7 separate regions of the Mus musculus genome follow, and regions 1, 2, 3, 4, 6 and 7 are each reported to be linked to region 5. Evidence: microRNA targets listed by miRTarBase, many of them from high-throughput screens and not tested one by one. Region 5 holds a microRNA gene; each other region holds the end of a gene's coding sequence.

Region 1 (4,067 bases), not on the chromosome of region 5:
TCTTAAAATTACTTTCCCTTCAACATAGAAATGTTTTGTAGAAGTGATACATATTTACCATATTATTAGTTTTAATTAAGTATAATTTTGATTAGTATAAAGTATCCTCTGCTGAGCAGAACAGTTATTAGTTATTACTAAATAATTATAGCTGAACTTAAACTTTTTAAAGTTCATGTATTGAAACCTTATATTTCGTTACATTAATTTTTGAGATGGGGTCCCATTATGTCCATGCTGGTTTCAAATTACTAGGCTCAAGGTATCCTCCTGCCTCAGGTTCCTGAGTGGCTGAGAGTATGACACATACCATGGTGTTCAATCTTGCATTTTAAGGCATACTGTCCATAAACTCCTTGTATGCAAATGTATATGAAGATTTGTAATGCATTAGATAAAACTGAATAGTTGATAACTTTCTTGTTGACACATTACTTTTTTTTTTTTTTAAGAATCTTCAGCTAGATGAGGAAACCCAATATCAAACTGCTGTGGAAGAGTCTTTTCAAGTAAACATGTGACATGTATAGACATCTCTGCCTCCTTGCAACCTACAAGTGCCATCTTTAAGGAGAAGACATGAAGTCACCATTTTCAGTAATTTGCTGTGCATATTAATAAAAATAATAATTCAGTCTACTGTATTAGGTTTTTAATTGAAAATAAAGGTGGGCCACCCTAATACCATTCTCTAGACAGTTACTTTAACAGCATGGAAAGGGTTGTATTTCACTTGTGTGGTGAAAAGAGAATCTCTGTTGTCTTTTTCTTCCTTGTATTACATATTCTCAATGTTTCATTAAGTTGTTTTTGGTATTTGATATAGTTCCTTCTGTTTAGTACAGAGATAACAGCAAATTCTGAACGATGTGATTCTTAAAAAGCTAATAAACCTGAGCCATTTGTCAGAGCTGTAGAATGGAAACTTGAAGTGTGAAGTGGGATAATCCAAAGGGATTTTTTTTTAAAGTATAGATTCTAGCTGAGGAATTCAACAATAAGAAAGTTGTATTTATGTAATGTTTAGTATTTTTGAAGACTAGTGAGATTTCTTTAATAATTTTTACTTTGAAAGCATATTGTACAAATGTTTCTTCTTTTGCTATTAGAAGAACATCAAGAGAAGTTTCCTTTGGTGGTTAGTTTGTTATTTCAATCTAGGTTGAATAATTTGTAAGCCTAAATGTTATATACCACAGTTCTTTGTAGTCAGTATTTCTCACTGGGTGATGAAACTTTTCAGCCAGTGAATGATACATTCAATTAGTTTTTTAAAAATCCAAAGTTGCAGATGTATGTGGATATGTACATAGACTTTTGCATGTATATATACACATATATATCTTTGCCTAGAGTTTGTCAGGTTATGTATAGAATTTCTATTAAAAAGTTTTAATAATGGACAAGCAATATAGGATTGAAGTATTTATCTCCTTTGTTTAAAATTTTGTATGTTACCAAGTTTTTAAAACAGTAAGCCAAATACTATGTGGTACAGTTGGCTGTTATTACACCTGAAAAATGTTAAATGGTGCTCACTTGTTACGTTTGAAAATGATGCATAACTGACGTGTGGTGAGAGATTTTACCAGCTACTGTTTCACTACATTTTAGTCAAAACAAAGTTTGTTCTTAATCTTTGGTATAAAGTGTTGTAGAGAAGGCCAAGTCACAAAGTAAAGGGTGAAGGGGGAATTCTGACATTCCACACTAACATAACACTGTTATGCTTTCTTTAAAATAACTAACCGCAAAAGAAAATCTCTGAAGTAGTTTGCTGCTAATATATACATATATTGTAAAAAAAAAAGGTATATTTTGATTTTCTTAATACCCTTGTTGACTTTTCTACAATGAACATTTTTAAACTTGATTTAATAAAAATGTTAATTTTGGATGTGCAGTTTTGTAAAAAACCTTTTTCAGTTAAACGGTAATGACTTTATTTATGTTCAGTAATATAGACTCACAAGAAGCCATACATCTTAATGCCTTTTTTTCTGTTGTTTCTTGAGCGTGATGTTTACTGTGTTCTCTAGCACTTTGAGTTGACATACAAGAGTAATTCTAGGAACATCTATATGATGAACCCTTTAAAAGGAGACTTCTGTCCACAGTCCTCTAGTTTAAAGCAATAACTTGGATACTTTTAAAGTTTTATTTAGCCAGTGTGCTCCTAAATCATCCTGGGATGTACAAACTTAAAGGGAAACTTGTACTAGAGAGGGTTCCTGTTTTGAAGTCTTGTGGATGAGTTATATTAATAGATTAATAGCTTTTTCATGAGAATTATCTTTTTTTTTGCATTAGTAACTTCTTAAATATAGAAAAAACTTTTTAATTCTTCTTTTGTCAGTGGATTAAGAATAAGGATTGACTTTAGAATTTAATTTATGGGGGCGCACCTCAGTAGTCATGTTTAATAGCTATCAGGATAAAGGAGAGAAACTATAGCAATATGCTGATACATCAGTTTCACAGTACCAGTTAGAAAAGCCACTTCTCCTTCAACTTAGTTTAGTTTATGTCCATAAACACAGTGTTGATTGAGATGTATTGCTTTACTTTTCAATTAAAATGGTTTTCTCCTACTTGTGTGTCTTAATTAAAATTTGTCCTCAGACAGACATTTTTAGGTCTCATAAGACCCTGCAAAACATGTAGGAGATTTTCCATTATTTTCACTTGAAAAAGTTGTCAGGCTGCTAAGTGCTGATATTACCACTATACATTGGGTTAAAATTTAATACACAGTGGGTATAAAATTTTGTTTTTATGTATTTCCAGTGTTAAACATCTGCATTAAGCCATTTCATAAAGTGTCCATTCAGCAAGATATTTCAAGTCCTGTAACCGCTGCGGCCACACTAACTGGGTGGGTACCTGAGTGGGAGGCAGGAGCTGTATGGAAGGAAACGGTGAGAGAAATAATGGAGGCCAAGACATGTTTCTGTTCAAGGCCCCCCAAAGTTTACTAAGAGTCTGTGCTTATAAAGGGAGGAGGCCCACCCCCCCCCCCCCCCCCCCCCCCCGCCAATCCATTCTAGATGCCTGTTACCAGCCTGTAGGCGGATGTGTTGAGTGCTGTCTCCTGAATATCTCAGGGGCCTCTCAGCAGGTCTTGGAGAAGGGCAGTGGCAGGTGACAGAACAATAGAGCCATCTAAGTCCACCCCAGATCGTCTCATTCTCATTGGCAACAAGGTCAAAGTCAGCCTACTCCAGGCTGGGGGAGGCTACAAAGTCCTGTTAGCATTCAAGCAAAAGGTCAGCTAGTTGACACGTTTAATGTGAAGAAATCAGCTATAGTCAAGATAGGGCTCTAAGAATATTTTGCATCTCTGTGTTGGGTTGCTTTTGGTAAGTATTGCTATCTTCAGTGAATTGTAGATCTTATATTCAAATAGACTCATCAAAGTAATGCTATTGTAGCTTATGTAGAAAAGGTGTGTCCTGGCAAACACCCAAAGATCCATGTACAGTTTGTAGTAGAGGTGGGTATATTGCACGATTATACCTGTTTTGTAGTTTCAGTTCTACAGTACTGGGGAAAGGAGAATGGAAACAAAGCATAATAGGTTGTATATTGAGAGCTGGAGAGATGGCTCAGTAGTTAGGAGCACTTGTTCTTGTAGGGGACTTGGGTTTTGTTCCCAGGACTCAAGGTGGTTCATATCCAGACATAACTCCATTTTCAGGGCATCTGTACATGTAGGTAAAACACACTTACAAATCTATTTTAAAAGGTATTTAGAGAGTAAAGGGGGGATAGAGAGAGGGTCAGGGATGTGACTCACAAGGTAGTTACAAAGTACTTGCTGACAAAGCTTTGCAACTAGAGTTTGATTCCTAGAACTATATACTAAAAGGAAAGAATTAACTTCCACAAAGTTGTTCCCTGACCTCTATGGCAGTGTGGCAAGAAAATACCCCATTATTTAATTTTTTTTTAATGACAGATACAAGGGCCTTGTGAAAAGAGAATGACCAGCCCTCCACATCTAACAGCACTTGCCTGCTGTGGGCTTGAGAGAGGCCATCCACACTTATCCTCGCTAGTAAAAGATA
Region 2 (4,067 bases), not on the chromosome of region 5:
TTTTAAAAGTAGAAATCAGAAGGTTTGAAACTGAGAACCTTTTCAAAGATCCTTGAGCTACCAGTGGCTTACTCTAGTGTCCTAAGAAGCTCAACTGAGATTCCTGTAGTCCTTGGATCTCAGGTGGTGTGGTAAGGAATAAACAACTGTTTTCTTCTTTAGCAAATACTCCCTGTACACAGTTCTGAGACTTCACTGCCAGGGTGCAACCTCCAGATGGTGATGCAGTACCTCACATTTAAGGTGTCCACATCCATCCACTGAAATGTTCATGCGATGAGTGCCGTTCTTATGATATATTGAAGCTGTGTGTGATTGGGAGCTTATAGTACTGTATTGTATAGACATTGAGAAGCACTGACGTAGGGCTCTGATACAAATGTTTGACGCTTTCTCTGTTCAATTTTCTCGCAGAAACATCCCTTTATTTTGATGTATGAAGAACGTACTGTAGAGGTCGCATGCTATGTTTGTAAAATCCTGGATCAGATGCCAGCCACTCCCAGCTCGCCCATGTATGTCGACTGATACCGCTGCTACATCAGACTCTAGAAAAAAGGGCTGAGGGGAAGCAAGACGTAAAGAGTTTTCATCCTGTATCACAGTGTTTTTATTGCTCGCCCAGACACCATGTGCAATAAGACTGGTGTTCGTTTCCATCATGTCTGTATACTTCTGTCATCTAGACTGTGCATCCCTGTAATACCTGACTGATCACAGTGTTAGTGCTGGTCAGAGAGACCTCATCCTGCTCTTTTGTGATGAACATATTCATGACGCGTGGAAGTCAGTACGATCAAGTTGTTGACTGTGATTAGATCACACCTTAATTCATTTCTAGACTCAAAACCTGGAGACGCAGCTACTGGAATGGTGTTTTGTGAGACTTCCAAGGCTGGAAAGACACAGTCATGGATGTACTGTCTGAGCATAGAGAACCCGGGCTTGAGTGAGAAGAGCTTGCACAGCCAGTGAGACACATTGCCTTCTGCAGCTGGGAGACAGAGGAAGGATTCCCTTTCTTCACCAAGTGCAATAGATTTCCTCATCTGATAGGCTGTTGCTTTACCGTCACACGCGATGTGCTCAGCCAAATTCCCTACTCAAAATATCATGTTAAATTAGAATTTATCTTTACCAAAAACCATGTTGCTTTCAGAGAGGTCAACATTAAAATACTGAGACAGGACAGAATGTGTTCTTTGTCCTTTTCCAGCCCTGCTCTTCTCTGGGAAGATACAGGAGTCTGCCACCTGTCATAGAAGGGTGCTGCCAACTTGATGCTCTACCTGCCACCAACCACCAGGACTGAAGGAAGGAAACAGTACTGAGGGCAAAGTTTACAGATGTTTTTGATTCTGGCATTTTGTCCAGAACAGCTTGTAGCAGCTATAGATTCCCCCTTGGCCCCAAGCCTGGGACTTGAGCCATCGTAACTCACTAACAGGGAGAATTAGCTAGTAGCAATGTGCCTTGATGAAGATTTCCTGCAGGCAGCAAAACACCAAATCACAACGCTTTGCTTCTCGACATCATGGGCCAGGTCCTCAGTTTCTAACTCTTTCCCTTCCCCACAGTTCGTTGTCGCCATGCGGCTTTTGCTCAGTCTAGTATTCTGCCTTGTTTTTCACATTGGGAACCCTAACATTACCAGGGATGCTACTTACCACAATTTGTAACCCTGAATCTCTCCTGTGCTCTGGTGTTCAGAAAGCTGAGACAGCTGGGCCCAGTTGATGTTGTACGTGAGAAAGAGGCAGTCTGTTGGAGAGGCATACTTGAGCAGGATAAAGATCCTAAATGGCAGCCTTTCAGATAGGCATGTCTGACACCTGCTGAGGCCTCTACCAGTTCACTCTCTCCCTTGGAAGTGGAATTCTACCCACCTAAACCCCCCAAAAAAGACAAAACGAAAAGAAGCCACTTCATCTTATGTGCCGCTGCTTGTCTTCAGCCCATTAGCCAGGTACTGAGCGTCAGGCTCTGCATAGCAGTTAAGCAGCACTGGTAGTGGTCTGCCGTGCAGGGGATGCCTGCTATGCAGGTGATGCCCTCCCAGGATCTATTCCTGGTGGGCACTGCTGTGTCTCCCCCAGAGTGGCACTCAAAGTACTATCAAACAATAAAAGGAAAATGGTGCTGTTTGAAGTTACATCCCTTCTCTTTGGAGGATTTAAAAATGATCTATCTTTTGGTCCACTTGCCTAATTTTCCCATTTTCCACCCCTGGCCCCCTACCCTTAGATTCTCTGTGTTCCACAAGGAGACATCATGAGATGTCTTCCTTAAGCTGCACCAAGCCATTGTCCTCCGTTGTTCCCAGGACTCAAGAGGAATTTGTTTCTCTGCTGTCAGCTTCCTGTCTGGCTCAGTATAGCCTCACTCTGCCGTTATGCAAATGGAGATCAAAGTAATTCTGACTGTCCAGGAGCTATCTCACTTTCTGCTGTGTGGGCGGCCACATAAAAAGGCAATTTTAGTGTATTAATCATAGATTATTATAAACTATAAACTTAAGGGCAAGGAATTTATTACAATGTATCTTTATTAAAACAAAAGGGTGTATAGTGTTCACAAACTGTGAAAATAGTGTAAGAACTGTACATTGTGAGCTCTGGTTATTTTTCTCTTGTACCATATGAAAGTATATAAAAATTATCAAAAAGCTGATGTGCAGGGATATTGCCTTATTTGTCTGTAAAAATGTAGCTCAGTAACATAACTGCTTCTTGGAGCTTTGGAATATTTTATCCTGTATTCTTGTTTGAATCCTTCCTCTATTTAAGACATAGCCATGGAGCCCACATGTTTATGGAATAGTCTACCCTTTGCCTGCAGGTCAGTTGTAATAAATCTAGGTTGTGATGATGGTCTTGTAATCTGATTTTCTGCAGTCATACCCCGAGAAAGAAATTCAAGAAAAAATGACATTAAATCATCTGTGCATTTCATATACAGGAGAGTTATCTCCTTCCAGAAGTTTCTGGTTCTTTTCTTTATTCGTCCCCTCCCTCTGCTTCTTCCCTGATGTAACAGTGTGGCACAGCTTGCTTTTTTCTTTTAGCAGCTGTGGTGCAGTCTTTTCAAGCTCGCACTTGGGTGTCTGGACCTACTGTGGTTGTAGAATGCTGCAGGAAGCAGGTTCAGTTCTACCTGTATCAGCGTTGACAGGTGTGACCTTAGGCCTGGTGTGGCCAGCCAGGCTCCTGATGCTGAGACTCCCGGGTGAGAGGTCAGATGGGATCTCTTACTGCTACCTGAGAGGAGAGCAGGGTGAGGAGGAGACTGCAGTTAAAAAGGGCTATAGGGGTCATGCCCGAGGAGCTCCTTGGGGTGGGTGGGGTGGGAGGGTTACATAATGGAAGTGAACACAAAAGTCTCAGGAGCCTGGAAATGGTGGGAAGCCACCTAGTCTGAGTTTTTCTGCTGTGTTCCCATGGCCATTGATGCCTACTTGGTCATACCACAGTGGTTCAGCACTGTCCTGTGTCCTCTCGTGTTTGCTCCTTAGCTAAGTGTTGCCTGCTGAGGGAAGTAGTACCTCAGAGGTTCTCATCCCATTTGAGCCAGTGTCAGGAGGAACAGGTGTACTCCACGTTCCATAGGACTATATCTTGTGTCTGTTCATCTCATTTGATTCTGAGTGCAACCCCACCAAAATCACAGGGTAGGAAATTCTTTCTAAATAAGAGAACAGAAAGAGGTTACAGAAGTAAAATTCTGCCTCAGGTATTAGTAGGGAACACAAAGGCTGAAAGACTCAAACCCAAAACTATAAAAACATGCTATTTAAAACCCATTATCTAAGGCAGGCAAGGTGGCTCAGTAGATAGAGGAGCTCAACACTTGAGTTCAGTCCCCAGGACCCACATTGTAGAAATGGAGAACCAACTCCTGTAAGTTGTCCTCTGACCTCCACAGGTGGTACAGGTGGCACACACGCCCCTCCCCAGGACTAATAAGAATAAAAACCCCATCACCTTTAACAATAGAAGTGTGTGACTGAGAAGTTGTTGGATCTCCTGTATTTGTGACTCTCACCAGGCCTGCTCTGTTGTCATGAGAGT
Region 3 (4,067 bases), not on the chromosome of region 5:
GGTTGGAGATTTGTAGAGACTCAATGATATAGGGAGCCATGGAAGGTTCTTGAGCAAAGAAATGACAGCTGGATCCTAAAGTGCAAGCCCTGTCCTTTACGGAGCCCTATGGTAACCCTGTCAGCACACCAGGCCTGGATGTGCAGGGAGCTGGTGCAAAGGCCTTCTCTGTGCAGGCGAGCTTCTGTGTTGTGACAGCTCATGCGTGTGCTTCTGTGTGCTGAGTGGCTGCATGTCCCAGATCCGTGCTGCACGACGTATTGGCCGGCAATGGTGCTGGGCACTGGGAGGTGGGAGGGAGATATATGCGTGTTTGTGGGCATGTGTGTTAACGTGTGCACGCAGGGCCTTAAGGCCTCACAGCATGTGTGTGCACGCCCAGGCGTGTGCGTGTGTGTGTCCCCTAACCCCCAGCCTGGCCCACCTGTGTGTTTGTGAACTGCCCTGTTGATTTCGTGCTGTCTTTCAGAATCACTATCAGTGACCCCTGAGGAGTGTCAGCTACGGTAGGTTATGCTCTCAGCCTGCTGCATGAACAGTGTGTCTACCCCTCCCTCCTCGCTGCACCAGCTCCATGCTGAGGACACCTGGGACCCCTGAGCCAGGCCCCTCCTCCTTCTCCTGCAGCTCTGGACTCCCTCTTCCTGTCCTCTTCCAGCTGGCTCTCTCACTTCCCTTTCCAGTGAGCCTCGGGACTCAGCGCCACTACTCAAGGCCTTCTTGCTTAAACTGAGGGCTCTTGGAACAGGTTTCATGTCCAAGACGGTAGATGTGGGTGCTCCCTGGAGACACCAGACCACTGTTGACAGTGTAGGGACTAAGAACTAGGAGAGGGTGTCTTCAGCCTCTGAAGGGGCCAGAAGCGTTAGGACCCCCTCTTCATACCTACTCTGAACTATGCTGCCAAGATAAGAGCTTTCTCCTTCCAGCCTAGGAGCATGGCGACTAAATTCACCACAGGGCAAGCATGAGAATCGCGCTGGCAAAGCCAGGCTCTGACTGGTGACTTTAGACAACTTAAGAGCCTTTGCCTTTCTGCCAGCGCCTGAGGGCTCGCAGGCAAGGTGAGGATCTCATTCATCCTTGACATTGCACACCTGTAGCTAACAGCCACCTCGTCAGCCCCCGACATAGAGCCAGCCCATCAGCTCCAACATTTGACCTGTTTTCAGAGTGACCTGTGCCTTTTAGCCGAAGGCAATGCATTGTCTACTGACTGGGAAAGTCAACTTGAGTTCTGCCTGGCTGGCCACAGATCTCGGTTACCCTGTCCCAACTCTTCCCCAGCCATTGACGCTCACCCTTCTGCTTTTCCCCAGCAGGAAGGGCCCAGCCTCACCTACGAGACCTGCAGCCCCCCGACCAACGGAGGCTCCCCTCTTAGACTTATAAGTCTGTGGCCGCAGGCATCGGCTGCCTGCCTCCCAGCCTCCCCAGGGTCCCCTCAGAGGACTCCTGACTTTCTGACCACCTGAGGGGCCTCCAGCGCTCCCTCCAGCCATCCCCTTTAGCTTCAATCTCCTGGTTCAAGCACTTCTGGCCTCATGGCTGTTACATGGGACTCCCTGAGGCTTGGGGTGGCCCTGAGCCAGTGAGATGAGAGACAGTGAGCAAAAATGAGGGAGGCCCTGTGGTGCATTGCCTGGGTGGTGTGTGAGAGGCCGTGTGTGTGGCAAGAGAGGGCCACCAGCCTCTACTCAGACTACCTGCTAGTTACGGCCCAGCACCCCATCTTCCCTTTCATTCATCAACTGTGCATCTCTTCCGGGAACCCTGCCCACATCCACACCTGCCTCAGCCCCTGCCTCTGCTGGAGGTGGCTGCTCTTGCCTTACCAGCTCTCCTTCCTTTTCTCTCTTCCGTTCTCTCTCGGCTTTCTCTCCAACTGCCAGCCGATCGGGTCAGGCAAGTCCGTCCCGTCCTGAGAGCCCCAGGCCCCCCTTCGACCTCTAACCAGATCCCTCCTACTCCTCGGAGACCTCCCTTACCAAGCCTGCCTGGACAGCTGTTCTGTGACTTGACAGTGGCTCCCCCGGCCCCAAAGCGTCCTATTCATCATCTGTGACTTAGTCTGTTGTAGTGGTGAGCTGACACATCCAGATGTGATGTTGGTGAAAACTTGTGCCCCTCTGTGGTATTGCTCCTGCGACATTCTATAAATATCTATAAATATACCTATATATACATATATATACATATATATGGCTGACACAGCCTCGCCTGTAGTGTCAGAATCAACCACCATGCTGTCCTTGTGGAGTCTTGTGGTCCAACAAGGGAACGCTGTCATCCTGACAACCCCCCCTCCAGTGTACCACCTCCAGTGAGCCCCCCTGTCCTCCTGGCCTGTGAACAGCCATCCCCTTGGCCATCCCAACCCTGCAGCAAGGGGATGCTGCAGCAGCAGCAGCTGTGCAGTTCTCTGGTAGCCACCAGTCTTGCTGTCTCTTGGCTGAGAATAAAACCCATTTCTGGATCATGGGGAATTGCGTGTACCTCTGCTGGTTTGTATTCTCTGGGGCTGAGAGGACGGTGTAAACTGGGCACTGAATGGAGGGTGAGGAAAGGCCCTTGCTAGGGTGCTTGTGAGTTTAGCAGGTCCTCATCCTACGAATCCTGCTTACACCACTAGGGGGCAGTATCATGAGCTCAGCCAGGATGCTGTGAACAGCCTAAAGAACAAAACAGGTCTCTAGTGTGGACAGACTAAGGGGAAGGGTCGGAATGTAAGAGGCCTGGCCTGGAAGTCAGCGCCCTTAGTTGCTGCACCCCGAGTCCCACCTATGTATACTATATGTCAGGCTTGACTCTCTTACTCAGTAAGGAAGCTCTGTCCCTGTAGCCCCATGGTACTCCCCCTGGGGTCCCTAGGCTTCAATAGGCAGTGTATAGGTGATAGGTGTCAATCAGCCCTGCCAGGCACTTCAGACCTTGGGCTCCATACAGGCCAGAAGCCTGCTCTCTCCAGGCAGGACACATTCCCTGCTCAGTGCCAGCCTGAGGCTAACCCCAGAACCAATGACGAACACCCTAGGCCCAGCAGTATGGCTAAATCCATTTATTTCCCAAGTAAAAAGCAAAATAAAGAGGAGCTGCATCAGCAGGTGCCACAACCTTGTCTCCGCCTCCTGCCCTCTGACCTAACACTACCAATAAATAAGGTTCCCAGCCCAAAGTGATTATTAGAAGCTCTTCCCATTTGCCAGCTCCAACCTCCACTATGATACAGGGGTGTCCCTACCCCGGTATATACAAAATAGTACACAGGTACAATATGTACACCGGGGGAGGGGAAGGCCACCCTGCCCCAGCAGCCTCTGTCCTGCTTGGCGTAGTTACCCCAATTGTCATAAGGCCTGAGAGAATGGTACCCACTTTCCCTGTCCCAAAGTGCCTCAAAAAGATGGAAGCCCTCCAAAGTGGGATGCCTTCCTGAGGCAGTTAGCCCCAACTGCCTGAGGACCCATGAAGTGCTGCCCAGCCCCACTGCCCTAAAGTGCCTCTGAGAAGATGGGAGTTGATCTGGGGACCTGCTGTGCCCTGGGTTCCATCCCCAGCATCACCACACAAAGGAAAAAGGCAGGGAGTGCTGGGGGTAAATCACTTGGTAGAGTGCCTGCTTAGCACTGCCAACCACCAGGCACAGCGGTGAGGCAGGGGCTCAGCTCGGGCTACAGGAGACACTCCGTAAAGAAAATGAAGATAAAATGGGGGCGGGGAGGAAAAGGAGGATAGGGAGGACTGAGCCGGTGAAAACTTAGAAGCCCTGCTGAATGCTAGGCCAGTTTACCAGCCTGCACTGCACCTGGGCACGAGAATGCTGCCACTCTGTTCTGCCCCAGAGTCCTGAGTAAGGCCTGAGGCCCTCCTTGGTGAGAAAGCCCCCAGGCCACCCAGCACAGTCTGCTCCATCACTGAGTCTCTGGCGTTCTTTCTGTAACAGGAATTTACAAAGTAAAACTGCCCTGGCTAAGAGGCAGATCTGTACCAGTCTGTGTCCCCCATTAAGATAGGAGCCTGATCTTTTGGTTTTTTCAGACAGGGTCGCATGTAGCCCAGTGTGGCCT
Region 4 (4,067 bases), not on the chromosome of region 5:
AATGAGATAAAGGCTCAGAGCTCACCACGTGGGAGCTGTTTGGGACACGCTGGCTCTCCAGCAAAGGAGTCTGCTGGCACCAGTGTACACCCAGCCAGCTCAGCCCAGCTCAGAGCCCGTGAGCTGTGCTACTCTGTCAGCACCTTGGTGAGTTGTGCCCCCTGCTGGCAGAGCGACATACCACAATGAGAACATACTGCTCCATCCCGGTTCCTTGACCATCTGCTCTGCCCTACCTTCAGACAGACACACTCCTTTTGCCCCTTCTTGTCTGCCCTCTTTCACTCAGCATAAAACTGAGGCCCACCCATTGTAGTTTTATGCTTTTAGAAAACTTTTCTGGCTGGGCAGTGGTGATACACGCCTCTAGTTTCAGCATTCAGCATTCAGGAGGCAGGGGCAGGTGGATCCCTGAGTTTGAGGCCAACCAGGTCTACAGAGTGAGTTCCAGGACAGCCAGGGCTACACAGAGGAACCCTGCCTCAAAAACAAAACAAAAAAAACAAAACAAAAAAAAAACCAACAACAAAAAACAAACAAAACCCATCCCTTATTATAAAATTGAGGGCTGTGGGCTGCAGTAGACCCGACAGAGCAATGTTACCTAATGTATACAAGGCCCTTGGTCTGATCCTCAGTTCCATTAAAACCATGACATGAGAGAAAACCTTACAAGAACGAGAACTCCCAGCTCCTGTGAAAAAGTGTTCTCTCACAACTTAGTGTCCAGTAAGGGGCTCCAGTGCTAACCTTTAGTGATGCGTGTCTATACAAACAAACTTCACTTGTTGTAAACATCACTGCCTGCTCATGGAATTATTAAATAATGAGGATGGATAGGTGCACTTTATAAAGCCAGGCTTCTTGGTTTGAAATGACCTAGGTCAACCACCTCCCTATACCCTGTCTCAAGCACAAACCTTGCAGCCTCAGACATTGCTGGCCCTCTTGTGACGTAAATCTGTCACCCAGAATTGGCAGTGCATCACTTGGACTTAGAATACAATTGGAAAGAACTTTAGTGTGTAACAAGACGCCCTTCCTGCTGGCCCAACTCTCAGTCTGAAGCAGTCCCACAAATCCAGAAGGTACATAGCTCCCATCCAGACAGACAAACAGCAGAAGCCAGCAGGAGCCAGCTCCCACTTACGGTGTACCAACTTATGGACAAGTGTGACCTGGCTCAAGGAGTGAGGTCCAAGGACTCTTGGGAGAGGCTTTGTTGTGGATGTTTGGAAACCACTTCTACACTATTCGGTCAAAATCACACACAAGATAAGGCTGCCTCACTAGTCTGTCTACCTGACATTCACAGAGCCCCTTCTGTTACAGGATGCTAGGCACAGCAAAAGAAGCTGGGAAGTTGACTTCTGCGCCCACAGAGCATCAAGTATGAACTGCACTGAACATTTAAACTACCACAACTCAGCACCTACGTCACTTAGACAAGGAGTATGCTGTCTCCTCTGGGAAGTGGAACAGATTACATGCATCTCCTAAACCTGTGGTGTTGGGTAAATATGTTCTAGATATAATCTTAGCTGTAGTAGCATATTCTGATAGACGGCCCCCACATTCCAGCATATTGGGCAGAGAAAGCGACCTGGAGGGATGGAGCTGTCTGTCTGTCTCCAACATGCTACTTACCTGGTGAGGATGCAATGTGGCAAGGGCTTGCTTGCTGTCACTACAGAGGCTCTTTCTGTTGCTCCAAGACAAAGCCCAGGACCTTGATGTGCACAGGTAGGTATTTGTGCAACCAAGAATAAAGGACATCACAACACCAGGGAAAATATTTTATTTACTATGTCTGAAGTTTTCAGCATTTCTGTAACATGCACAATTCAAGTGTAAATAAGAGAACAGAAAGCACAATTGTTTAAAAAGCCTTTATCAATTACTGGTATGTCACAGCCTATTGACAATCCCATAGAACTTAACTTATTTATGCTTGTTTGCCTATTTGTTTTACTGTGTGAGTACATGTGTGTGGGGAGTACATGCATTTCATGGCACATGTGTGGAGGTCAGAGGACAACTGGAGAAGTCACTTCTCCCCTCCACCACGTGGCTCGCAGGGACTGAACTCAGGCTGGGCAGCACATGCCTTCACCTGCTCAATCATATCACTGCTCCTTTCCCTGAAGAATGTTAAATCTTAGAAATAAGAATGTATTGCAGACCTTCAAGATTTAGTTCTTTGTATCTATAAACTTCTCTGAACAGAAGTTAACTACAAGTCAGGAACCCACAAAGCCTGGAAGGAAGTTGTTTTCCAGGTTTTCACTAAGTCAGTTTGGTTACGTACGCTCTCAAAGATGTCCCGGTTGTCCCTTGACAGACCTGCGCTGACAGGCCACTAGTGATGTCATCTCACGCACCGAGGGGCTGGCTTTGTGGAGACTGGTTTCCAGTTCTGACCCTCCACCTCCTGTGAGATTCCCGTTCATTAGCAATGTCCACCTCGTAGGGCACGCATGCCTCAGAGCTGCTTCCTACCCCAGGAGCAGGCCCCAGTACCAGGAGCTGCCCTACAGCACATATGGGGCATGCTTTCTGTGTTTAGGCATTGACGAGTCCCCTGTCCTGAAGTGGGCCCAGCATATCTGCCCCACGGCCCTGTAGGCTGGGCAGCAAGGCACGCGTGTGACACCAAGTCTTGGCAAGTGTGAGGTAGGGTCAGCACAGTGATGTTCGAAGCTTGACACCAGATGAGCAGGTAGGATCCAGGCCCTCTATGCCTGTGTGCATGAGTGCACGCTGACCAGAAAAACACTGGAAAAGCAGATGGTGACACGGCACGGTGACACGGCACAGACCCAGGCGCAGACAGGTGAGACAGGGCTTTGGGTGTGGATTCCTTCTGGATGACGTATGTTTGCTTCCAAATGTATATGGCTTTCGAAGGGCTGGACACTGGGCACTGAAAACATCATAGACAGGTGACGGGAACTGGTGCATCTGATTTGTAAATCTAATTCATCACTCAAAAAGAAGTGTTTCTCATGGAAAACGTCCTTTTAAATATAAAATATATTAAAAAAATAAGAAACTTCTCAGGAGGCAGCATCCAGGCCTATAGTGATAACCTCATTAGAAGTGAACTGGCCGACCAGCTTGTCAACAGTTGGATATGAACCTGCTGGACCTATCCTGTGCCAGCCACCCTGTGCAAACTGCAACAGTCTCTTCTAGAGAAAATGAAAGCAAAGCATCTAGTAAATCTAGAGATTTGATAATTCAAAACTATCCATCTTGAATACCAAGATTAAAAGCAGTGGGCTCTCGGGCAAGGCCACCTTCCTGAGGCGTGTGTTTAACAGCTTGGACTTGTGTAAAAGATACGTCATTCTGAGGACACAGGTGCTGCTTTGAAGCATAACTGTAACATGATTCCAGTTTGGAAACGGCTGGTGCTCACCGTAACGTCAGGAGCTGGACAGCAAGCTCTCAGCCCTGCGAACAGGGTCTACGTTGCTTTCTCTAAAGACAAGTCATGCAGGCGGCTTCTAAAGCACTAGGTCTGCCCATGTCCCCGATGTCCCGAGGCGCTTCTGTGTGTCTGCACGTCAGCCACTGCAGCCTTTAAGCAGAGTAAGGGTTTGCTTCATGAGTGGACGAGGAAGACTCTGAGGTCAGCGACAAATGCACACAGCAACCCACGCAGCTGTCTCCTCCAAGACACGCCCATCCTACCCGCCATCCGGCTTTTCCATCTAGAAAGGGCTGCGTCTCCCGCCTGTGACCACTGGCCGTGCGTATTCTACAAAGTCATCTATAAGGACAGGCCATGCTCCTAAAGGGAAACAAACAGATTTTTAAAATAAGTCTCATGCCAGTATTTTTATATTAAAAATATTCTTTCCCCATTCTAACATCTAAAGAAACAAAGGAATCTGAAGCTTATGCAACTTGTGTCTGATCACATGACTCGCTGAGTCACTTCTGTTCCAGGAAATAGGGTGAGTGAGTGGTGGGCTTGATGTCCTCGAGACCACATTCACTGATCATGCCTACATGGTGGCTTCTCAGGCCTCAGCCGATTCATAGGCAGTCAGTCAGACTCT
Region 5 (4,067 bases):
GCTAGGTTTCTGTGTTTTCTGAAAGATGTGTGTCTGGGCATCCAAAGCAGCCTCCGGCCTCTCCCTTCTCCTTGGCACAGGTCTTGATGCTGAGGGAAAGCCATGGTTTGGCGAGGGAGCCTACAATAGTTTTCATGGCTGTAAAGCTCAGTAGCTCACAGCATAGCAGGAAAGAAGACAAATGACTTGGGTTGAGTCCTTATCTTTCAGCTTCTCCCCCTACTGCACAACTGGGCACCCAGGACCATAGTTTACCGGACGGGCACATGCACGCACACACACCCACACAACCACCTGGGAACTGAGCACGGGGTGCAGAGAGCTCTGGGTCTTGGTCTGATTTCCTGCTCTGCGTGTGACCTGCTTTTGTCCCACACGCCCTGGCTACTTGCAGACCCCGTCAGTGAGGCTGACCACAAAGGCACAGTGTAGCAGAGTCCCCTGTTGGGATGGCCGTTTCTTGGAGCAGGAAGGCTAAGGGGCCCGCAGCTGCCCAAGGCTGGTGTAGACATCATCAGTTCCACTTAGCTCCTCGAAGACTGGAATCAGGTTCAGCAACTCTGTATCTGCCATGTCATCAAACCAGGACTGCACAGGCACCTGGGGCAGGAAAAAGTGACATTATCTGATATTTCCTTTCCTTTCCAGTGCCATTGGAGGCTGCTGGGCCACACAGGGGTTGTGGACTCCTCTGATAAAGCCCACGGGCCCAGCCTGCAGCCACCCCAGTCCCTGATGCGAGCACTCACTGCATTTTCTGGGTGGAAGATGTAAGATGCAGGGGAGTTGTCCAGGATGACAGTTTTCCTCAGGTCCCTTCCCAGGCGGCTGAGGTCCTTGACATAGCAGCCCTGGTGGAACACACAAGCCTCTCGGAACAGGCGGGCCCGGAACACCCCGCACCGGTCCAGGAGATCAGTCACAGGGTCAGCATACTGGAAAAGAAGGAGAAGCTTTAGCCTAGGCTGAGGGCTGGCTCTCCCCTGCCTTCTGCCCCTCCTGCAGTCAGGTACCTTGGCCAAGCTGGCAGTGAAGAGAACACATTCGAAGAGCTCCCCCATCCGTCTCAGGAACTCATCGACGTAAGGCCTCTTGAGCACATATACCTGGGAGACAGAGTGGATTGCTGTAGGAACCCCACAAGGCCAAGGACACAGCACCGGCTCTGCCTGTGCACTGACAGAAAAGCAAGCAGGCCTAGATACCCAGGTCGAGACACTGAGACCTCTGCCCCACCATGGACAGCTCTACCATGTTACCAGGCTTCTGCTGCCTCAACAGGCCCAACCCTAACCCGGCAGGAAGGAATGCACTCCCAGGAGCCATCTTCATTGAGGGCAGACCATGCGCTGCCTCCAGAAACAAGTAATCAAGAACAGGCCTCATGGACGGACACAGCCTATCCTGGATTACTTGAATCCAGCCGCAGCCTCCACAGTAGCCTTCTGTACGGGATTCCAGCAGGACGGCTTGTGTAGGTCCCATCTGGCAAGAACCACAAACTTCTTCAAACACACACCCTCGTAGGTTTGTGTGCACACCACCAGCTTCGAGGACTTGCTCGCTTTTAAAGGTTCTTCAACTAACTCGCCACCCAGTCTATGATCTGCTGCTTCTTCTTTCTTTCTTACTTCAGCCTGCACAAGTGTTCCTTAGGCCCACTCACTCACTTCCTTAAAGCAGCACAGGGGGTGTGCCCACCCCAGTCCCTCCTAGCCCACATCAGCACCAACTGAGCAGAGCCCTCCCATTTAGCAGCAGAACCCTCCATGCAGCTGCAAATGGATCTATCCATCACCTTCCACTTCTTAAGCCTCACAAACAAGCCCCTTCCTCACCAAGCATTGCTCTCCTCCCAGGCTCTCCTCAGATCCACATGGCAGGCAGCCCTCTCACTCAGGCCCCTTCTGCCCATGCCAGAGCCCCATACATTCTGTACATTTCTATTTCCTCAACTAGACAGCAGGGGGTGATGGGTGGAGTAAAGAGCCACAGCTTCGAGGCTCTGTACAGAAGTTCGTAAAGGGGCAGAGGGCTACGATGACAAACCCAGGACAGTCTCAAGCTGAACTTTCTCAGTCTGAAAACAGGTCTCATGCTTGCTAGGATGTCTGCATCACTGTCTCCGGCCCTCCCCTGGGCCGACCAGCATGCCTCTGGGCACATGGTCTCTCACCAATGCCTCGTGGTCCTTAACCCTAGGCAGCAGGGTGTACACGGCAGAGCCTGGACTCTGCCACTCTGACAGATGCATATGGAGCACTTACAGAAACCAGTGTAGAGGTCAGAAAGGTGTCATAGGAGGGGCCTGGGCCAGGGAAGACACATTCAGTAGCTCTTCACCAGAGGGCACAGGAGCAAATCCTAACAGCCCTGCACACAGAGCAAGGCTCGCCTGGTCTAAGCATGGACTGCATGGGCTGGACAGCATATGCTCTTCATTGAGGAGCTGGGTTCAATTCCCAGCAACCCCTGGCAGCTCACAACTGTAACTCTGGTTCCAGGGGATTCGACACCCTCACACAGACACACACGCAGGCAAAACCAGTAATGCACATTTAAAAAGCCACAGTGATGGCTAGGACTATGATGTGAAAATGCCAGGGGCTGCACACAATGGTGAAGGCCTTTAATTAACTCCAGCCCTCTGTGAGGTCCAAGTCAGCTAGAATTAAATAAAGAGACCCTATCCTGGGCTGGAGAGATGGCTCAGTGGTTAAGAGCATTGACTGCTCTTCTGAGGTCCTGAGTTCAAATCCCAGCAACCACATGGTGGCTCACAACCATCTCTAATGGAATCCAATGCCCTCTTCTGGTGTGTCTGAATACAGTTAAGTGTACTCATATACATAAAACAAATAATTCTTTAAAAATATTTTTAAAAAAGCCAACAGTTCTTGCAAACAGCCTGACTACATAGAGACAGGAGTGTTGGCTAGAGGGAAGTGTGGATGATCTGGAGACAAGCCATCAACAAACATGGAAGCTGATGATAAACAGGTTGAGAGGCAGTTTCCCTTTGAGGCAGGGTGTATGCTGGCAAACAGCTCACCTGGTGCGTGGTCCCCTCAATCTCTACAGGCACTATGAAGTCAGCATTGTTGATCGGCTAGAAGGCAGAAGTGCACAGTGTCAGCAGACAGGAAACCCTACCCCCTGGAGACAGCCCACTGAGCAGTTCTTAGCCAGCACAGGGCAAAAAGTATCACATATTTTCCGGTTTCCCTTCTCCTTCATCCACCCATCCATCCTACCCACCAAATTCTACCTGAGGTAAGTTTCAGGGCTTTTGAGATGGGGTCTTGCTACATAGTCTGGGCTAGCCTTCACCTCCTGCTCTCATGAGCTATGCACACAGGCATGCATGCCTGGCTCTTTGGGCTAGCCGTGTTCATCTCCTGTTTCCGTGAGCTATGCACACAAGCATGCATGCCTGGCTCTTTCAAGACTGACTGGCTCTTACTGGGTAACTCATGTTATTCTGGAACTTGTGATTTCCCTGCCTCAGTTTCCCAAGCACAGGGATTGTGGAAGTTCCCTCTGCACCCAACTTAAGGCTTTCTTGAGTTAACAAACGCACCAGTCAGGAAAACCAGATAATGCTTACCTACTTTTTCCACGGTAAGTCGAGACAGACACAGCATTTAGGGTGGGGTGTGTGTGTGTGTGTGTGTGTGTGTGTGTGTGTGTGTGTGTGCCTTAACCTCTTCAGTTTGGCCTCTGGGTATCTGTGACTCCAGGGTGGCCGACAGCCTGTCCTGTCCCTGTCATTTCCACGTTCATCTGCTCACCTTACTGACCCTGCTGTGCGGCTCACACAGGCCCAAGGGAAGGGTACCACGCTGACTCACCTTAAAGGAACTGTGCACAAGGGTCTCATCCAGGTCAATGACCACGCAGATCCTGCCTTGATCTTGCTCTGTCACCTCGGGGAGCAGGCAGGTCCCAGGGATCTAAAAGCAGAGCCAAGCTGCTGAGCTGTGCCCAACAAGAAGTAAGCCCAATCGCCCCTCAGCACAACACTGGGAAGAGCCAAGCTGCCTGCAGACAGTCATCAACACAGGAAG
Region 6 (4,067 bases), not on the chromosome of region 5:
TTTCAGATTTGGAGTCTTTCGTCCTTTAGTCTTCTCCATACTTTTATCAATGAACACGCTCGGCAGTCTATTTTTAGAAATATTGGAACTGGAGTCATGCAAATTGAGACAGGACCAGCAAATCACATTTTCTCTTGTGGAGCTGATGGAACAATGAAAATGAGGATCCTGCCGGATCAGTTTAGCCCTTTAAACGAGGTGTTGAAAAATGATGTGAAATTTATGCTATAACATTTTCACAAGAGGGTATATGATTTATTACCTGTTTGTAGAAGTAGCGAGCAGATGCAATGCACAGTAATCACCTGCACCATGGATGAACTAATGCTTTCTTGTTTTCATATTTATTTTATGGAGCTTTGCCCTTGATGCACTGATGCCTTAAGAGATAACAGGTCATTCAGCGTTAGATATTATTGCCTAACATAGAGTGTATGAGTAATGTTGTATCCGTACTTATTCAAAGTATATTTTAGTAAACATGCCATCGTGTTAGAGAGACTTTGTTTTCTCATTGTTATAAATTCTGCAAGCACTGCTGCATGAAGTCCACAGACAGTAAAACCCTTAAGAGAGGTGCCGACCAAGAGAACACTCACCACTGAACTCTCCACCTTCTCACTTCTCTGTCACACAGACAGCTCTAATTGTTTTCCTGTTAATAATGAAAACTTCATATAAATACAGATAAGATAAGACATTGTCACTAAAACTGCTGTTGGGACTTCAGTGATAAGAGAATCCAAGAGTTTATTCGTTTTTCTCTTTCCCTCCTATAACCCAGAAGTGTATATGTAAATGTATTTATGTGTATGTATATATGTGTGCATATGTGTATATATATATATATCTTATACATCTTACTTGATATTGTATATACAGAAACAGAAGCTACAAGTCTTTTCATGTATTTTGTGCCATAACACCTACTGCCGCAGTATAAAACTCTTGGTTTTTTTTTAAGTTTTTAAATTATTTTAACCTTAATGTTACTTTTAAGAAGCTTTAAATTTATTATTATTATTTTAAAGATACTGAATCAAATAAGTCTCAGTAGGCAATAAAGATGTTGTGTGGCACACAAGGCATTTTATATTAAAAATTTGTCAGCAGTTTTGATGATCAGACATTTTAGTTAAATTTTGTTTTAATTTTATTTCTTTTAAGATGAATTTAGTCTAAAAATTCTAAAAATGTTATAGCAGTGTTTTTAGAATCAAATGTGAAAACAGTCAATTTAAGTATAGTATTTACAAATGTACAATGCCCTGCAGATCTACATTGATAGGAAATAAATGTTATATTTTATTATTTTGCCAAAATATTATTTTATTATAAAATTTGACCAAAATATTTAAAATTTACAATGCCTCTATCTTAAATATGATAACCCTATTTCTGTCTGTTTTGTGCTATATCTTTTCTGATTCAGAATTATAAAAAAAAACTTGAAAAAAATACTTGATTTTTAGCCAATGAGACTGGCTGTAGAATAAGTGTTTAAGGGACAGTTACATACTATTTAGCTCAAATTTATTTTTAGTTAGAACCAGAAATGGCCATTTTTATGTAATGAAATATGGAAAACTATTAGGAATTGAAGAGTCAAAGCAAAGAAATGAAGGGCTGGTAAATGAATTTTGTAATATCCTCAGGATACTTTTATTATAAAAGTGTATTGTTAAAGGTTTTGTAATTGTATTTCATATTTTAAATATAGTGAGCAAGTTACAGTGAAAACACTGTCATTATAGAGAGTTTATATGCACAGAGTAAACTGTACCTGTAAATTGTGCAATAGCAATATATGACTATTTGCCATGGAGGAATCTGTGACAACATTACAAACAATATTTTCTTTGATGTAGCTAAGTTATTTTTTAGTAATCTCTTCACAAATCAAGATTCAAAAGGCTTTAAACACTTTCCATAAGAAAGAAAATTTACTATCGTGTTTATTAAAATCAAAATGCTTCAGGGATGATCTATTGAGCATTTTAATTGAGAGTTTATATGAATAACAACATTATGTAAGTCCATATGTATTTACATCCAGAGTCATATTTTAAATAAACAATCATGCAGTGATTTTTTTCGCATGCTTTTGTTTTAAGAAATACTTCTGCCAGTTTAGTTGATTTTAATTATGTGACTTTTAAATTCAGAATTTCTATATGTGATGATTGAAGAGATAATTTAATTTCCTCAAATACCTTCTTGTTATTTTCTACAATATTTTTTACTTAATGGGTGCTCATTAAATAATTGAAATGTGTATAGAAAATAATACAAATACACTTAAATTTTCATTATCCACACAAATGAAATGGTCACATCACAATTAACTTACATGCTCTGTTTTCATAGAGTCATGTTACAGAGATTTATAACATGGCAGGTCTCATGTTCTAAAATACTGGATTTCTCTTACCACCGTGAAACACTGCTTACTTGATTTTCCTTTGGTCCCACAGTTTGCTTTTAGCTAAGATAGAACATTTGCTGTTGTGCTTACCAGAACTTTAAAGGGATTGGTGTAAACCAAGTCAGCAGGTCACCCTTACAGACATTCTTTAGTTAAAAATGAGGTTTGCTTGTTTTTTAAAACAGCAAAAATGTTCAAGTGGATCTCATTGACTGAAACAATATAATTAGACATTTCAGAAAATGCTTATACAGCCTGAAAGTGGCAATGGTATGATTAAAAGGCTAGAAACCTAGGCAAACATACGTTACAAAACAAGAAATTTAAATATCTTATGAGAAAGAACCACAGCCAGTTAAAAACCAAGTCAACTACAAGAAATATTTGTGGAGAGGTGTGTTAGTGACTCTGTATGTGGTATAACTTTTATGTTATTAGAGAAAGTCAAACTGAATAACAGGGCAGCACATTAAAAGTTAATAAAATATTAAATGGCCTTAATAGTAGTTAGTGTAATCTCACAAGAAAAAAATTATGAATAGACATAACATTTTATTGTGCTTTGAAGATAATATGAATGTTTTACAAATTTAAGGTTTGTCTCAACTGCGCATGACTATCAACACCATTTTCAAATGGTGCAAAGTTGCTTCATAGCTGTCACATTATAGTAATTCTTACAATATTTCAAACTATAATTATCACTGTATTGGTTTGATCACATTATTTTGGGATATCCTGACCTATACACATAGAACACTGCAAACTTACTCACATAAATGCATTTTGATTGCTCCATGACTCTTTGTTCCCCAGTCTTTGTCTCTTTAGATCTTCCTATCCATTGAGATGCAATATTAAAATTAGACCAATTAACAACCATACAGTGGCTCTTAAGTGTTAAAGTGAAAGAGTCTTTTGGCTTTAAATTTTAAAAAAAGTGTGTGAAAAGAAGTAAATACCCGGATGGACCATCAAGAGACTGCCATATCCAGGGATCCATCCCATAATTAGCCTCCAAACGATGACACCATTGCATACACTAGCAAGCGTTTGTTGCAAGGACCTTGATATAGCTGTCTCTTGTGAGACTAGGCCGGGGCCTAGCAAACACAGAAGTGGATGCTCACAGTCAACTATTGGATGGATCACAGGGCCCCCAATGGAGGAGCTAGAGAAAGTATACAAGGAGCTAAAGAGATCTGCAACCCTGTAGGTGCAACATTATGAACTAACCAGTACCCTGGAGCTCTTGACTCTAGCTGCATATGTATCAAAAGATGGCCTAGTCGGCCATCACTGGAAAGAGAGGCCCACTGGACAGGCAAACTTTTTATGCCCCAGTACAGGGGAACGCCAGGGCCAAAAAATGGGAATGGGTGGGTAGGGGAGTGGGGGGGCGGGGAAGGGTGTGGGAGACTTTTGCGATAGCATTGGAAATGTAATTAAGGAAAATACGTAAGAAAAAAAGAAAAAAAGAAAAAGAAAAGAAAAAAAAAAAAGAAGTAAATACCCAAAACCGATAACCTACCTGAATTTGATCCCCAGAATCCACAAATAAAAATGAACCAGCTTCCTCAAGTTGTCTACTGACCTGTGAAGACACAGATGCACACTTATACATGCATACATTTTGGTTTTG
Region 7 (4,067 bases), not on the chromosome of region 5:
AGTATAATGATTGAAGAGTGTGGAGGCTTGGATAAAATTGAAGCACTACAGAGGCATGAAAACGAGTCTGTATACAAGGCCTCATTGAACTTAATTGAGAAGTACTTCTCAGTGGAGGTAAGTAATGGCCATGTCCACAACATGGAAAGGATATGAGAATTCACAAGTACCTTCAAGCCAATGGGCTTGATCCTTTGTATATGATTCTTACATTACCCTATCACAAAGAACAAGCATCAGTGCAGCCAAGATTTGCTGTGTGTGGGTGGGTGGGTGCGCGCACGTGTGGCTAGTACTGGCTTGATGGTATATGATGGTTATATGAACAGCCTGGAATTGTCCCAGCATTCATGAGTTAGCTAAGCTTTGGCAACAAGTTTTCTGCTAGGTGCAGGCTTTGAGACAGGGTTCTGCTAGAGATGTACCATGTTTATGGTTATATCTTACCTTACTATTTCCAGGAAGAGGAAGATCAAAATGTGGTGCCAGAAACTACCTCTGAAGGCTTCGCCTTCCAAGTTCAGGATGGAGCTCCTGGGACCTTTAACTTCTAATGTCCAGCTAAGGCACAAAGTTGTTAGCTATGTGCTGTGCTATTCTGTGTTCTCATAGATTTGTCTTACTGTTTCTCTACTAAGAACTCTTTTTAAATGTGGTTTGTTATTGTAGCACTTTTTACAAAAGAAACTATACTTGAACAGTTATAAACTGTACATACTCTATGAAGCTGTCCTCTGAATTTATTTCTATGTGGAATTTCGTACCCTGTCATGTCCTGTAAATAAAGATTAAAGTTCCATTCTTTACTCTGACTTGCTGTTTTCTTAATTGAGATTACTGTTGGAAGTGAAAGGTGAATAGGAGATGTTGATTGAAAGTGAGGCAGTGGTGGCAGAGGCAGGCAGATTTCTGAGTTCAAGGCTAGCCTGGTGTACAGAGTGAGTTCCAGGACAGCCAGGGCTACACAGAGAATCCCTGTCTTGAAAAAGTGTGAGGCCTGGATGTGTTACCGGTATGACTCCAGTGAGGTAATAGGATATAGTTGACATCTAAATGCATTGCTTCCTATGAGAATAAATTCTTAGCAGAGACTTTCCTCAGAAGTCCAAAACGCATGTTTTTGTTTCATGACCCTGTGAGCCAAATTCTCTATGGCAGAATGGCTTTTCATATCCACTGGGTGTAATGGAAGTACTACACAGCCACTGATTCCTCTTCATGGTGTCAGTGTCTAAATAGGTACAGGTTTAGTGATGTACCAAAATTTCTTTGGTATCAATTTCTAGTTGTGTTTCGTCTACATGTATATCATGTGCATGCCTACAGAGGCCAGAGGAGGGTTGTTAGAGCCTCTGGAACTGGAGTTGACGTTGGAACTGCCAAATGGAGATGCTCACAATGAACTCTGGTCTTATTGTAAGAACAGCAAGTATTCTCAACCACTGAGCTGTCTCCAGCCCTGGTTTCTTGTAAAGTTTTTGGTTTGAGACAAGATCTCTATGTAGTCCAGGCTGTCTTAGGGCATAATATGTAGACCAAGATGGTCTCAAACTTAGATCATCCTGCATCTACCTCCCAAGTGCTAGGATTAAAGGTGTGCACATGAGCTTCCGTTTTGATTTATGATGTCGTGCCAGTATGTATGTCAGTGTACACATGCATGTGGAGTTGCAGTTATGAGCTGCTATGTAGGTGCTGGGAAGTGAACCTGGGTCCTCTCCAGGAACAAGTGCTCTTTCAACTGCTGAGCTGTTTCTAGAGATTGGCTAAGTGTTCTTAGCCAGTGACCCAGCTCTCCAGCTCTCCATCTTGTTAAATAAAAAGGATATTGCTTCCAGCACATAGGGGCAGAGGCAGGTGGCTTTATGAATTCTAGATCACCCAGAGTTATATGGTGAGACTTTCAAAGCGAAACAAACTTGCCAGGCTGGGTTATAGTTCAGTTGACCAGTACAGATAAAGCCCTGGGTTGGATTACCAGCACCATGTAAAGTGGGCGTGGTGGTTGCCCTTGTGTGCTTCTGTTGCTGAGATAAAAATACCATAACCAAAGGGATTTGTGGAGGGAAGGATTTATTAAGCTTATAGGTTACAGAGAAGCCAGGCCAGGAACCTGGAGACAAAACCTGAAGCAGAAGAACCCGGTTTAGTGCCTTGTTTCCTCTGGTTTGCTCAACAGAAACCTTCCATAGACTACAGTAGGCTAGCCCACCTGTGACAATGAGCAATCCAGAAAAGGTCCTACAGACACAATAGAGGCCGCAGCTCAGTTGAGGTCAAGTTGACAACCATGGCTAACTATGACAGTGGTTCGCTGGAGGCAGGAGGAGGCAGGGCTCATAGCCATCCTCCATTAGGCAGTAAGCTTGAGGTCAGCCTCAGCGGATGAGACTGTCAGGTTTTCACTTTCTCAATTTGGCTTTTCTTAGCTTTTATTTTTTTATTTTTTTATTTCCCAGAACTAAGTAAATTAAGAAGCCAAAATTCTTTGCCCAGATGGTATTAGTTTCTTTCCATCCCACCAAGCTCTTGGGTTTTGTTTATACAAAGCCTGGAAACCTCAGTGAGTGGGTGGGCCCACGTTCAGAGGCATTAGGGGCTACAACAACTGGCTAGTTCCCTCCCTCTGCCCTTGCCCAAACCCAGTGGACTGGTTTTGGGAAGCTTTTAGGTCATATCAATTACTGGGGCCTTCTTTTGAAATTGGGTTGTTGACCTAATTTGTAATGAACAAAAACCTGGCCGTGTGATGTCATCCTCCTTCCCAATATTCCCCACTCCCACCCCTAGGAGTGTTAGTGAAAAGTGTTCTAGAACATCAAGGATTTAATGTTTTGTTTTTCAAGACAGGGTTTCTCTGTATAGCCATGGCTGTCCTGGAACTCACTTTGTAGACCAGGCTGGCCTCGAACTCAGAAATCCGCCTGCCTCTGTCTCCCGAGTGCTAGGATTAAAGGCGTGTGCCACCACCACACCTGGCTGGTTTTTTTTTTTTTTTTTTTTGAAATGACAAAAACCACCCAGTCTATCAAGTAGGGCTTTGAGGGGCAGCAGTGCAGTTGAGTTGCAAGCATTTGTGTGTTAAATGCAGTGGTGTTGGCATAGTTTGAAAGTATCATTCTGATGTCTGCAAACCCCTAGTTCCTACTAAATCCTTGGGACAATTTCCTAGACTGTATGTGAATTACATGCACCCCGCCCTCTGGACTGATGAGTATATTGCTGCCAAGCTCTCGGTGGTAGCTGTCTGCCCTGAGCGAGCCAGAGCCTGGAAGCACTGGTGTTTCAGGGAAGCCCCAGCTGTACATCGAGGCTCTGTGGAGGAGCCAGAGAGATGGCACAGCTGTTAGGCATACAGCCTGCTCTCTTTCAGAGGGCCTGAGTTCAGTCCTCCACATCTGCATCAGTGGTTCATAACCACCGCCTGTGACTCCAGCTCCCTTCTTATGCCTGAGGGAACCTGCATGCCTGTGACATTTGTACACGTGGCATGCGTGACTCTCCCCCACATAGACACATAAATAAAAATAAACATTTTCCCGCAAACATTTTTATTGATTTTGGGGGAAATTTATATATCATACTACCTTTTTTTTTAATACTTTTTTTTAAAGATTTATTTATTTATTATATGTAAGTACACTGTTGCTGTCCTCAGACACTCCAGAAGAGGGAGTCAGATCTCGTTACAGATGGTTGTGAGTCACCATGTGGTTGCTGGGATTTGAACTCCTGACCTTCAGAAGAGCAGTCAGGTGCTCTTACCCACTGAGCCATCTCACCAGCCCTCACACTCCCTTTTTATTCCTCTCAGATCTACCCTCCCACCTTTGGGTCCCCACATTCCCCCCCCCAATACAGCATGTCCAATTTGCATTACCCAAATAATCATTGGAGCATGGTCAAAGTCCACTCCAAAGCATGGAGTGAGTGCAAAAAAGATACCTGAGCCGGGCATGGTGGTGCACGCCTTTAATCCCAGCACTTGGGAGGCAGAGGCAGGCAGATTACTGAGTTTGATGCCAGCATGGTCTACAAAGTGACAGCCAGGACAGCCAGGGCTACAC

The links. The annotated mature microRNA mmu-miR-26a-5p reads UUCAAGUAAUCCAGGAUAGGCU and lies in region 5 at 1,397-1,418, opposite strand. An mRNA with a match to its seed (bases 2 to 7 or 8) in the 3' UTR can be bound and repressed. Matches are read on the target gene's strand: a 7mer-m8 pairs with bases 2 to 8, a 7mer-A1 pairs with bases 2 to 7 and ends in A, and an 8mer does both.
Region 1: the mRNA of Rnf138 is a reported target of mmu-miR-26a-5p. Seed matches in the 3' UTR shown: 7mer-A1 at 925-931.
Region 2: miRTarBase lists Map2k4 as a target of mmu-miR-26a-5p. Seed matches in the 3' UTR shown: 7mer-m8 at 1,776-1,782.
Region 3: miRTarBase lists Dnm1 as a target of mmu-miR-26a-5p. The part of its 3' UTR that is shown has no 7-base or 8-base seed match.
Region 4: miRTarBase lists Dcun1d2 as a target of mmu-miR-26a-5p. Seed matches in the 3' UTR shown: 7mer-A1 at 1,844-1,850.
Region 6: the mRNA of Dmxl1 is a reported target of mmu-miR-26a-5p. Seed matches in the 3' UTR shown: 7mer-m8 at 862-868, 7mer-A1 at 1,447-1,453, 7mer-m8 at 1,459-1,465 and 7mer-m8 at 2,449-2,455.
Region 7: miRTarBase lists Kpna2 as a target of mmu-miR-26a-5p. Seed matches in the 3' UTR shown: 8mer at 691-698.

The regions. Positions count from the first base shown.
Region 1 is chr18:21,025,634-21,029,700 of GRCm38, forward strand. Rnf138 (ring finger protein 138) reads left to right here. Exons shown (of 7, transcript NM_207623.2): 7 at 453-2,591. The coding sequence ends at 521. Among named protein-coding and RNA genes, the nearest start is that of Rnf138, 26 kb to the left of the region's middle.
Region 2 is chr11:65,687,152-65,691,218 of GRCm38, reverse strand. Map2k4 (mitogen-activated protein kinase kinase 4) reads left to right here. Exons shown (of 11, transcript NM_009157.5): 11 at 415-2,975. The coding sequence ends at 528. Among named protein-coding and RNA genes, the nearest start is that of Gm30786, 29 kb to the right of the region's middle.
Region 3 is chr2:32,306,890-32,310,956 of GRCm38, reverse strand. It overlaps Dnm1 (dynamin 1), which reads left to right. Exons shown (of 23, transcript NM_001301737.1): 22 at 470-506; 23 at 1,893-2,486. The coding sequence ends at 491. It overlaps Golga2 (golgi autoantigen, golgin subfamily a, 2), which reads right to left. Exons shown (of 26, transcript NM_001080968.2): 26 at 3,044-4,067. Among named protein-coding and RNA genes, the nearest start is that of Gm23363, 9.3 kb to the left of the region's middle.
Region 4 is chr8:13,254,181-13,258,247 of GRCm38, forward strand. Dcun1d2 (DCN1, defective in cullin neddylation 1, domain containing 2 (S. cerevisiae)) reads right to left here. Exons shown (of 7, transcript NM_001024504.2): 7 at 1,783-3,796. The coding sequence ends at 3,717. It also overlaps a transcript of Adprhl1 not described here. Among named protein-coding and RNA genes, the nearest start is that of Adprhl1, 2.1 kb to the left of the region's middle.
Region 5 is chr10:126,992,894-126,996,960 of GRCm38, reverse strand. Mir26a-2 (microRNA 26a-2) reads right to left here and starts at 1,431; the gene lies at 1,348-1,431. It overlaps Ctdsp2 (CTD (carboxy-terminal domain, RNA polymerase II, polypeptide A) small phosphatase 2), which reads right to left. Exons shown (of 8, transcript NM_001113470.1): 4 at 3,852-3,953; 5 at 3,053-3,109; 6 at 1,014-1,106; 7 at 750-935; 8 at 1-600. The coding sequence ends at 475.
Region 6 is chr18:49,962,167-49,966,233 of GRCm38, forward strand. It overlaps Dmxl1 (Dmx-like 1), which reads left to right. Exons shown (of 43, transcript NM_001081371.2): 43 at 7-3,307. The coding sequence ends at 231. Among named protein-coding and RNA genes, the nearest start is that of Gm33335, 65 kb to the right of the region's middle.
Region 7 is chr11:106,985,374-106,989,440 of GRCm38, reverse strand. Kpna2 (karyopherin (importin) alpha 2) reads left to right here. Exons shown (of 11, transcript NM_010655.3): 10 at 1-117; 11 at 462-812. The coding sequence ends at 554. Among named protein-coding and RNA genes, the nearest start is that of Gm39424, 12 kb to the left of the region's middle.